3 linked regions of the Drosophila melanogaster genome follow. The protein of the gene in region 2 interacts with the protein of the main gene of each other region in a pairwise test. Each region holds a gene or a part of one and is shown on either strand. Other genes may lie near its edges. The genes, in order: Hsc20, IscU and Calr.

Region 1 (3,196 bases), on a different chromosome or scaffold from region 2:
TTGATTATTCCACAGGTAATTCTTTAAAAACACGCTAAGTCGGTAAGCTAGCTTTCTCAGGGAATTCTTTCTTAGCTTGTTGTTTTAATTATTCGCAAGTTTTCCGGCTGCCAGAAGTATTTCCCAACGGGAAGTCTTGGCAAGGGCACAGGTGAGTCCAACCTCGGTGACCAATTAATAGGAACTGTCCGCTGAGGCAACAGTCGATTTGAATTTATATAAGGTGCGACGATTTTCCTCACCTATACAAATGGCTCAGGCTGTGTGCGTGGGCATGAGTTTGCGATGTGTGATTTCTAGGGCCTTCGGGGGGTGTACCCCTGGCGACTTGAGTCCAGCAGATAGTACTGCGATTAATTGATTATATTTTTTTTCCAAAGTATTGTGACCGTGGCACAGGGTGCTCAATGAGAAGGGGAATTACTCCTGGGGCTTCCATCGAAAGTTGGATAAAAACCTGTTTTATTCGGGCACTATTGGATAATTAACTAATTGCATCGATCATAACTGTTCAGTCGCGATTTTTATTCACATTATAAAACAAACGAAGTCTGTGTTATTGTTTACTTAACAGCTGATAGATAGCAACAGGCGGACGTGTGTGTGTGCGATCAGAACCGATTGCCAAGTCGATTAATGCCAATTCAGCTGCCCAGCAAACTTTGTTGCTTCTGTTTAATGCTGTTCTGAATACTCAGCAGGTACTTCATCTCTACGAGGGTTTCTTTGACTCCCGAAAGATCTTTGCTATCGAAAAGGGCATTTAACTTCCGGGCCATCTCCTCCAGTTCCTTGATGAGCTGAATATTTAAATTCTCCAGCGTTTGGGTGTCTTCCGCATCCTCCACCTCCTCGTTCCGCTCCATCATGGCCATGAGAAACTCTTTGTTAAGAGCGCTATTATCCTGCGGCATCTGTTCGCCCTCCAGTTGAAGAAGGTACTGACCACGATCTATGGGCGTGGAAAGCGTTTTATATGCCTTGTTGATGAGGGAACTCCAGTCTGAGGAGTTTGTTTGCTCCCGTGAGGTTCTGTAAACAAGGGGATTTTATCGTTGCCTTCCTGATTTTATCACTTATGACTATACCCACTTATTACTATATTTATCGGGATGCACAATGGTCTGCAACTGGCGAAAACTTCTTGTCAACTTCTGGGACTCCAAAGAAAATTGAATGGGAAAGCTGAGCAGTTTAAAGTAATTCTACAGAAACTAAAAGTTAAATTAGCCAAATAAAATGTAGATAAGTACTAACTATTCCTGAGTTAACATCCTGCAAGTGTCCACAGTCCGAACATATCATATTCTGCTTTAATTCCGATTTCTTTTGGCAATTCCAACAAGCCGGCGAAGATTCAACTGAAAATTTCCGTATTTCTGGCAACTGGAATTGATTAAATTGTGCTGCATTTCTAACAAGCGGTGTATAATTTGTAGCTTTTACAGCACTTTTAAAGCCATTAATAACTCTACTCATTTTCTACAATAAATTTAACTGAATGATATACACAATCGAAGCCTTTAATTACACAAGCTGATAATAACAAAAAACAGCTGATATGAAACTAAGGTGGCAACGCTACTGCTTTGCGACTATCGAGCTTAAAACTTTTTAAACTATTTCATTTAACTATTAAATATTGACATTTATGACGTTTAAATAGTCATTGGTCTATTTAAAATGTAAGACCTTAAAAATTGTTAATTGAAATTAAGTAATTAAATATAGTATAACTTATTCATAGAAACAATTCAATTTAATAAAGTTCAAATAGGATAGAGGTTCAATATAAGCAAAAAGAAAAGGAAGGTAAAAATATACAAATTAATGTCTTTAATAAGTAACATTTTATATATATACATAAGAAAATATCAGACAAAGAGCAGGAAAGTATACCAACATATAGTCTTAATGGATAGTGAAACACAGAGTTTTATGTACAGAAGTATAAATTTATTCCAACATGTGGCTTACAATCTAAAGTTCAGGTCGCGTGTCCTTCGAGCACGTCCTTACATGGAGTCCTTGCGATAAGCGCGGTAGTTGTTCATCTCATTGGGAAATGTTTTATACAGCTCCAGCAGCAGATTCGTTTTGAACTTCTTCAGGCCCTCGATCTTGCCCTTGACCTCCTCGTTCTTGGCCAGTGCCTTCTCCACGCAATCCTTGGTGTACAGCTGAGGATTCTTGTCTTGGTCGATGTAGTCAAAAAACACTTCAAATGGCACATAGACGTCCTGCACCTGGGAGCGCAGCTTGTCGATCTCTTGTAGGCCGGTCACCAAGCTGTTACTAATGGTGCACATATTTATAGACATTTGATCAAATAAATTTTAGCATTTTCTTACATTTTCTGGTTGAGTACATTTTGACCCTGTGGCTGAAAATCGCTTACGATTATGCGGATCTGACGAACATTCTCGATGAACATCTCTAGCTGGGTCTCAAGGTTCTCTAGCGGTGCAGACATTTTTAACGATTCAAATTCGTTCCTTATTTTGTGGGTATTTCGTTAATATGTTTGTTTTCCTTGGCAAATATTTTATTTTTCTTCGCAACTCTTCTTCTTCTAGAAAACACCGAATGACCAGGGCTACTCAAACGCAATTTTGAGCATTCGGATTTACGAATAAGCAAGGAATAGCAAGGTCACACTGTTCAATCGCACACTTTTTTTGCTACAAAGAGCGTGATTTATTTTTATAGAAGCAAAAAAAGCAATAATTACTTAATTTACTGCCATAAATATACTGAGAATAAGAACCCAGAATGTCGGATAGTGATTTGGATGCCTTACGCGCGCAGCGCATGTCCCAAATGCAGTCGCAATTCGTAAGTGAAATATTTGAGTGGCTCCAAACCGGCTAGATTCCTCTAGAGAATTCCAAAAATAGTCATAACTTGGAATGAAAGCAAATTAGACTATATAAAATATAATAAAAATGTTAAGAATACATTAGCAATGGTATGCTTTGTTAGTTCTTATAGACACCTTCCCTATGAGTCATCCTTCTCGACTGGGACACCTGTTTCTTTAAAGGGCAATCCTTCAATGACCTTAACTCCTTTTTTCCTATTTTTAGGGCGGCGGCAATGATGCGGAAAAGCAACAAGCCCAGCAGGAGCAGATGCGCGCCCAGGAGGAAATGAAGCACTCGATATTATCCCAAGTTCTGGACCAGCAGGCCAGGGC
Region 2 (3,726 bases):
GACCAAAAGCCCAAATGAATGATCTCACGGACAGAATTATATTCCGATCTACAAAAATATAATTTGCTCCGAACGGTGATGCAATTAAATTAAATAAAGTACTAATACATATTTATCTAGTTTTCATTTAAACAAACATAATTGAGCGGGCTTAAGAATTTTAACATGACCAAACTTATTTAGCACTGTGCTTGCTGGCATTCGTCCTGGCTACTCCGGCCAAGGACACCAAGAAGCCGGCCACCAACAGTTGCCAGCACAACTGCGGTGAAGTCTACGAGCCCGTTTGTGCCAAGGCCAAAAACAGCAGCAAGGAGCGCCTCCTCACCTTTGGCAGCCCGTGCGTCATGGCCAACTACAACTGCCAGCATGCCGACGATCGTAAGAGATCCTCTACAATATCCTTACAGAATTAAATATGATTTAATCCTTTTGCAGCATTCGAGCAGAAGTCCAAGGGCGAGTGCGGCGGTGGAGTGAGCGTTCGCCTGTCCTAGAAGTCCAATTTCAACACTTTTGACGATTAAACATCTTTCACTGATTGTGCAATAATATATTCATGTATTTTTTATTCCAACGGGAACGCTTTATTTGTTTTCGACACAAGCTTGTATTTCGCATAACAGAACGGAAAATTTAATTAGCTCTCGGGACTACTTAGAATTCCCCTACAAAACACACACGTGCATATGCATTCATACAAGATCAGTTCCAGCTATCCTTTAGTATCAATGACAGACGATTCCTAAACTTCTATGCACTTATCAGCAGTCACGCGGCCAATCTGCAATCAAAATCAAAGCATTAATCAGTTGGTATGATTATTATTGTTATTATTTCAGTAAAAGTGTGTTAAGAGCAACTAGCCAATAGGCAATAAACGAGGATTATTTTGCATTGTCATACATATTATTAAAAAATATGTATGTAGTTCCTCTTAACCACCATTCACTGTATCCATACCATTTGACTCACCACTCACAGAGCTCTAGCGAACAATAATCGCATACTACGACCTAATGCCAAGTAATATATAGTATATGGTATTGTATTGTATGGTAGAGTACTTATAGTTGTTTTTTTTTTAGTAGTTGTTCAGAGAAACGCTCCACTACATTCACAGATTCCGTTCCGCCTCTCAGTTGGCCACCTTCTTCTGCTGCTTGACCTTGTAGTCAGCCAGGGCCGCCTTGATGGCATCCTCGGCCAGCATGGAGCAATGCAGCTTGACGGGCGGCAGACGCAGCTCCTTGGCGATGTCCGTATTCTTCAGCTTTCCGGCCTCGTCGATGGACTTGCCCTTCACCCACTCGGTGGCCAGGGAGCTGCTGGCAATGGCCGATCCACAGCCGAAGGTCTTGAACTTGGCGTCCACTATCTTGCCGTTCTCGTCCACCTTGATCTGCAGTTTCATCACATCGCCGCAGGCTGGTGCTCCGACCAAGCCGGTGCCCACAGTGACATCCTTCTTGTCCAAAGATCCCACGTTGCGCGGGTTTTCGTAGTGCTCAACGACCTGTGGGTGAAAATAGGTAGGTGTGTTAGTCACCAGGGGGTTGTGCTATCGCGCTTATCACTTTGCGTGCCGCCTGAAACGCTGTCTTTCAGAACGACAACAAAGTCGTTTCTTATCTATATTATACAGCTTCTAGATATTACGAAAGAACCTTCCGCGCGGCAATTGCGAGTTCTAACTTACATTTTCATGATACAATGCCACCGGGACACTTTGTACGCGCTTCAGCTGCGATCGCAGCAACCGGGAGGAGTTTCGCACCAGGGACATATTTAAATTAAATAAATCAATTTAATGAAGAATTGTTGTGAAATTCAAAGAGATCGAAAAAACACAGGCAACTGCGTGTTAGAAACAGCTGATGGACAGTGTGCCCGTTTTAAGGCAGATGTGAAAGACCAGCTAACGCCGTTGTCGATATGTTTTCGATTTTTTAAAAGATTTCTTATATTATTATTATTTACTCCTTAAAAACAGTTCAGTATAATAAGTTATTTACTATAAGTAATAAATTGTTTTTATCAATAATGAGCCATAAAAAAGCTTGAATAAAGCACCCTCTTGCATTTAAAATCACACTCTGAGTTGGCAGCTTGCCAGGTATTTTGTAAACTCACTCCTATGGTCACTCCCCAATCACAAAGTTTACTATTGCCCATCCACAAATTCTGCCAACTTCCGATATATTTTTACAGCAGCAGACTATGAGTTTCTGAAACTAGTCCCCTAGGTCAATAATATCCACATCCAGTCATGACCTCTCGCAAGCGCAGTGGCAGCGGCTCCACCAAGCGGCCCAAGGAGAAGGTTCGCCCGGAGCACTGGATTTCACGAGCTCCGCCCTCGAAGATTTGTGCTTTGCTTGACTAATTGGAATTTATTGCAGGTGGTCTATATATATGAGCTGTTGTGCCGGGGCGAGGATCCCAGCAGCGAGAGTCCCGAATTTTGGAACGAGTTCTTCCTGCTGCAGCCGAACTTCGAGGCGCTGGAGAATGAGATTGGCAAACTCAACAACGAGCAGCTGCAGCTGGTGAAACCGAACCTGAACACCCTCTTCCAGAGGTGCATCGAAATGCTTGACACGGGTAGACCAGTTTGACCTATTAATATATACCTCCAGCCACCTATAATCCGTGATTTCCCCCAGAAGATCATCCTAAGCGGCTGTGCAACAGCCTACACACGCTGTGCTCCCTGTTCTACGGGATCTTTAAGAAGTCCAACGCAGAACCAACATTAAACATCCTAAACGAGATCTTCGGCCATGAGAAGATGGACGAATGGCTGAAGCTACTCATGCAGTACTGCAATCGCATCCTCCTGGGCGATGTGCCCGAAAACGCTCGATTTATGTGCCTCAAACTGCTGCAGGTTCTGGTTACGGGCACGGATAACGTCAACCAGAACGCCCTCTTCGAGCATCTAATGATGCACAGCATGTTCGACGCCTTTGTTCGGCTACTCAGTGATCCTACGTTCCGTAGCCAGCATGGACACGACATCGTTATCCTACTTACTATCCTGGTCAACTATCGCAAGCATGAAGCCACTAACCCCTATGTGGTGCAGCTCTCCATACTCGCTGATGAGCTGGCTTTAAATGGGTGAGTCCATTTAGTCAATGTAATGTATGTATGTATATTTCTGGCAACTTATGTGAAAGCAATTGGCTTAAAGAATTTATAATCGAGGGTAATCAAATATTTAAACTGAATCACAAAGTTCTTTTATGTGGCAGCAGTTGGTGACTGACGTCATCAAACAGATAACTTGCCACGAGCTTGCATATCTTATTTCGATAGTAACCCGAACTTTATCTTGATTCCAGCTATGGCCAAATGATATCGCAATCGCTAATTGATTTCTGTCGCCAGTACATTCAGAGCCTTAACAATGTGCAATCCTCTTCCTGGTTTTCGTCGCTGTCGAATATTGTGGGCAACATGTTTGTGTCGGATGAAGGATGCGAACGGGTGCAGCAGATCAAGGCGAATAATGGCCTTCTACTTGCCCTCTACGAGGCAGTGCACCTGAATCGGAACTTCATCACAACTCTGGCTCACACGCAGGCAGAGTCCAGTGCCCCGCCCTCGCCCAGTAACACATTGAGTCTGGCCCAACCTGTGCCGGATCTATCTAATGCACCCATCATTGACATTACGCAGTATCCCACCAATCTGCTGGTGGCCGTATTTCAGTACTGTTCC
Region 3 (4,590 bases), 810 kb from region 2:
AAGCACCCAGAGCCTGGACAGCCACAAATGCAAGGATATGCAGGAGCGTTCGCCCTTTCAGTGCCCCCACTGTCAGCAGGCCTTTACTCGCGAACAAAACCTCAAGGCGCACCTGTTGATCCACGCGGAATCGAAACAGGGAAACGGACCCCACAAATGTTCATACTGCCAAACGGGATTCTTCAACAAGTCGGCCCTCAAGGTGCACATCCATGCGCACATGGGCGAACGGCCGCATGCCTGTCCCTTCTGCGTGTCCAACTTCCGTTCCAAGCAGGCCCTTAAGGTCCACATCCGCATACACACGGGCGAGAAGCCCTACCAATGCCCCCACTGCCCCAAGACTTTTTCGGACAACAATAACCTGGCGAAGCACCGACGACGCCACTCGGATGAACGGCCCTACAAGTGTTCCATCTGCCTGCAGGACTTCCGGGAGAAACATCATCTGAAGCGGCACTTTCTGGGCAAGCATCGGGATGGAGATCAAAAGCTAAAGCTAAAGTGATACCTTAAATTCTTGACCAAATACCACGGCTTACTCGAATAAATAAATTAGGATTCGGTTATGTTTATATCTCATTGTTTCTATAGTTCATATTGGGATTTAATTGAATTTAGGATTTATATTTTCGTAGAATTCGAACAGCACTTTGAAAACCATTTGGAGTGGCAACACCGTTTTTCTGTAAATCAAAATTCGATGTAGACACGACGATATAGACAGCGTTGCCATTCGGCCGTGATTTGTTCACGTGGCACCACCATTTTGATAAACAAGCTAAACAACCCTTAAATCGCTCGAAAAGAGCAATGGAAAAAAACAACAAGTTGTATGTTTATAAATTATAAGTCTTACAAATTGTAATTGTGGTTTCCGTTTGCTTAGAACATCAAAGCAGCTACCAACACACAAAAAATACCGAATATTTCTCGACGTAATTTTCCCTAGACGTCCTTACAATTCGTCGTGTTCGCTTTGATCTTTGTCTTGCTTAGATTCATCATCCTTCTCCTCATCGTCATCATCCTCGTCCTCATCGTCCTTGTCGGAAGCCTTTTTCGCCTCCTCCTCGTCCTTCTTGCGCTGCACCTCATCCTGGGCCTCCTTCATTTTCTTCTCGCCCGCCTGGGTGTTCTTGACTTCGGCAGCAGCCTTAGCGGCCAGCTCCACGTCGTCCGTGATCAGGACGTTGTCGAAGATAGTGCCGGACTTGACCTGCCAGAGATCGAAGCCCAGGGTGCAGATCTCCTTGCGCAGATACAGCTTGTCGTCGGGCACATACTCGGGATTGGCGATCTCGGGATGCTCCCAGGCGCCCTTGTAGTTGGGGTTGTCCAGCTGCTTTGGCTGCCACTCGCCCTTGAACTCAGGGTTGTCGATCATCGGTGGCTCCCACTCGCCGTCCATCTCATCGTCCCAATCCTCAGGCTTTGTGGCATCTGGGTCGGGAATGTGCTCTGGTTTGTCCCAGTCCTCGGGCTTCTTGTCATCGGGATCGGGAATGGTGGCCTACAGAGATTTACGTTGTTGTTTAATAACAATGAGCCAAACCGGTTTTTCGATGGGCTAAAGTCTGATTTGGGCGGGGATTTACAACTTACCCTATCGTCCCAGTCTTCGGGCTTGGTGGCGGTGGGATCCTTGATCTTCTTGGGGGCCAGGAAGTCCCAGTCGTCCTCCAGGTTGCCAGACTCCACCTTCTCGTTGTCGATGAGCACCTCGTACGTGTTGTCGGGTCTGACAATCAGCGTGTAGAAGTGGGTGTACACGTCATCTTTGCAGCGGATGTCTTTGCTGATTAGGTGGTTCTTGCCCTTGTAGCTGAAGATCACATGGACCTTCTTGGTGCCGGGTCCGCAGATGTCCGGGCCGAACATGATCTCGTACGGCGACTCGCCGTGCATGTCGGTCTGGTCGAGGGAGCAGTCGAACAGCTTCACATAGCCGCCGCCGCAGTCGATATTCTGCTCGTGCTTCACGGAGAACTGCACCACGAGGGGCTTGTCCTCGTTGGAGAAGCCATCAAACTTGCGGCTGGCCGCGTAGAATCGAGCATCCTGAGAGGTCTGAATGCCTATATAATGTGTGTCCACATCAATACGAATGCGCGCCGCGCGGAGGTGGGGGGCGAGAAAAAATGTGTATACAGTTACTATAGCTACTCGAAAACGTACACGTAGTGGTTTTTCTTCTTCTTCCTCTTCTTCTTCGTGCCCATGTTCTCCGCATACACGGGCACATACAAATGCAGATAACACGCCGACGAAAAATAAAAATGGCAGAACGAGCGAAGAGAAAGATTTGGAAAAGGGAGTGACGACACATCGACACATATACGCTACCTTTGTCGGCCTCAGCATCGTTGTAGAAGGTACCGGGGGTGAGGACGAATTTTCCGAACTCCTTGCCAGGATGTTTGCTGTAGATCCACGTATCCTCCCAGTTTTCTACGGGAACAAGCGGGGGAGTGCTTTTATTATTCTTCTATTTTTATTGTCTCTCCTTTCGTTATTCATTGAAGGGGAGCGGAGGACCACATGGCGGCCATAGAACGCGATGACTACCACTTACCGTTGTCGAAATTCTCCTTCAGATAAACCTCGGCACTAATAAAGCCGACTGTCGCCAGCAACACTATCACTGTTTTGCACCACATCATGTGAACGATCCCGCACCACTTTTTGGACTGACTCTTCCAACTCCGATGGTTGTCCGAACTCGGTTAAAGTTAAGTACTAAATGCCGGCAAGAAAGTGCTATTTATTTATTGCATCTAAATCGTGCGTGTCGGAGCGGGACGGCTTGTTACTGAAATTGGTTTGCTGGAACGTTTTCATTGGCCCAAATCAGGCCAATCAGGGATGTCTACGTATTCTTTTTCACCGGCCAGGGCTGATTTCGATAAGCAATCGCATGCTGCCCTGTCGCTATCGATTGCTTGAGCTGGAATTAGAAACACTAAAGTGACCGTTTGCTAATTAAATTAAATTATAAAATATATAAAATTAATATATTCTGGCATACAATTAATCACTTGCAGCAGGCTAAGCTAAGAAAACATAAAATTACTCCAATAACAATTCTTCTACTACTTAACAATTGTAGTAGTTACAGGAAGAACAGTTGTGCTTCCAGAACATTCCTAAGCTTTTTAACGGCTTAAGGGTTTTGAAAATTTTAACTCACACTTACATCACATGTTAACAATTAAGTTTTCACCCGATAAAGTTCATAGTATTTAAAAAGTTAGAATGTTAATTATACATTATAATACAAATCAAAAACAAATAAAGGAATTCCAAAACTTTGCACCTGTATTTCGTTAATTTTAGGAACTTTTTTATCTATAAGTGCTAACTTTTACATTTGACTTTATTACATTAAAAAATTACAATTTTCGCTGGAAATGTATTATATTAATAAAAAAGATAAATAGCCAGAAATAGAAAAGTGAAATTAAATTAATTAAAACAAAAAAGCTTTGGTATTTATACCAATAGACCTTCTAAGGTATTTTTTAAGACCTAGCTTTGTGGCAGATACGGTAAGTTCGTGTCGAGCCCACGTGTTGAGCCAATCTTATCAAACGCCGATTCGAATGCGGCATTAAACAAATGGATTCCCTTAACAACGGATGGTTCAGCGAACTGCAGGCCGATCTCTGGCCCGGTCAGTCATTCTCCCTGAAAGTCAAGGAGGTCATCCACAAGGAGAAGTCCCGGTTCCAAGACATCCAGATCGTTGAAACGTAAGATAAATAATAGATAAACAAATACTTGGACACACAACCCCATTTGTTTACATCCGAAATTCCTCAGTCTAGACTGAAGTTTGAAGATAGATGTCAAAATAAATTAGCTTAGATTGAGATTAAAAAACTAAATTAAAATCATTATAAACACGCAAGTCACACAAATCCGAAATTTTTAACAGCTTAAGCTGTTGAGATTTTAAGGACTAACCTACAATAGCCTAATCCCATATGTATCCTACATTGAAGGTCCCTAAATCATAGATTGTAGAAATCGAAAATTTTCCACTGGTTGTTCAAACACAAATTGCCCAGCCAGCATTTTCGGACCCTTTGGTTTTCGTGTGTTTATTCTTGATCTGCACCAACAGCCTTATCGATGGAGTCATCTAGGGCCAAAAACGACAGACAGAATACTGATAGCAAGTCAGCTCGTCTTTCAGGTTTGAGTTCCTCCAGTCGAACATTGGGTACACTTGCGCCGCTGAAAAAATCAATAATTCGATAATTCTATTACAGCGAAACCTATGGACGGTGCCTAATTCTGGACGGAATCATTCAGTGCACGGCCAGGGATGAGTTCTCGTACCAGGAGATGATATCTTTCCTGCCGCTCTGCGCCCATCCCAATCCCAAAAAGGTCCTGATCGTGGGCGGTGGCGATGGCGGCGTTGCTCGCGAGGTGGTAAAGCATCCACTGGTCGAGGAAGTGCATCAGGTGGAAATCGACGACCGTGTCGTCGAGCTGTCCAAGCAATATCTCCCAGCGATGGCCTGTGGTTTCGCCAACGAGAAGTTGAAGCTTACCATTGGCGATGGATTCGACTATATGAAG

Evidence for each region.
Region 1: the proteins of IscU (region 2) and Hsc20 interact in a two-hybrid assay, tested with the Drosophila melanogaster proteins (one large-scale study listed by BioGRID).
Region 3: the proteins of IscU (region 2) and Calr interact in a two-hybrid assay, tested with the Drosophila melanogaster proteins (one large-scale study listed by BioGRID).

Annotation. Positions count from the first base shown.
Region 1 is NT_037436.4:16,231,479-16,234,674, reverse strand, and holds Hsc20 (heat shock protein cognate 20), read right to left. Parts: upstream 1,549-3,196; 5' UTR 1,480-1,548; coding exon 1,258-1,479; intron 1,206-1,257; coding exon 1,093-1,205; intron 1,033-1,092; coding exon 645-1,032; 3' UTR 510-644; downstream 1-509. Other genes in the region: MED10 (mediator complex subunit 10), read right to left, coding at 2,016-2,295, 2,352-2,473; PDCD-5 (programmed cell death 5), read left to right, coding at 2,773-2,835, 3,087-3,196.
Region 2 is NT_033777.3:8,822,286-8,826,011, forward strand, and holds IscU (Iron-sulfur cluster assembly enzyme), read right to left. Parts: upstream 1,893-3,726; 5' UTR 1,787-1,892; coding exon 1,700-1,786; intron 1,517-1,699; coding exon 1,139-1,516; 3' UTR 976-1,138; intron 785-975; 3' UTR 564-784; downstream 1-563. Other genes in the region: CG8369 (uncharacterized protein), read left to right, coding at 184-381, 439-497; CG8379 (uncharacterized protein), read left to right, coding at 2,270-2,323, 2,403-2,604, 2,667-3,123, 3,348-3,726. UniProt on the Drosophila melanogaster protein: Scaffold protein for the de novo synthesis of iron-sulfur (Fe-S) clusters within mitochondria, which is required for maturation of both mitochondrial and cytoplasmic [2Fe-2S] and [4Fe-4S] proteins.
Region 3 is NT_033777.3:9,628,103-9,632,692, forward strand, and holds Calr (calreticulin), read right to left. Parts: upstream 2,750-4,590; 5' UTR 2,664-2,749; coding exon 2,576-2,663; intron 2,452-2,575; coding exon 2,347-2,451; intron 2,339-2,346; exon of another isoform or gene 2,153-2,338; intron 2,079-2,152; coding exon 1,606-2,078; intron 1,514-1,605; coding exon 959-1,513; 3' UTR 589-958; downstream 1-588. Other genes in the region: CG8319 (uncharacterized protein), read left to right, coding at 1-508; SpdS (spermidine synthase), read left to right, coding at 3,619-3,752, 4,275-4,590. UniProt on the Drosophila melanogaster protein: Molecular calcium-binding chaperone promoting folding, oligomeric assembly and quality control in the ER via the calreticulin/calnexin cycle.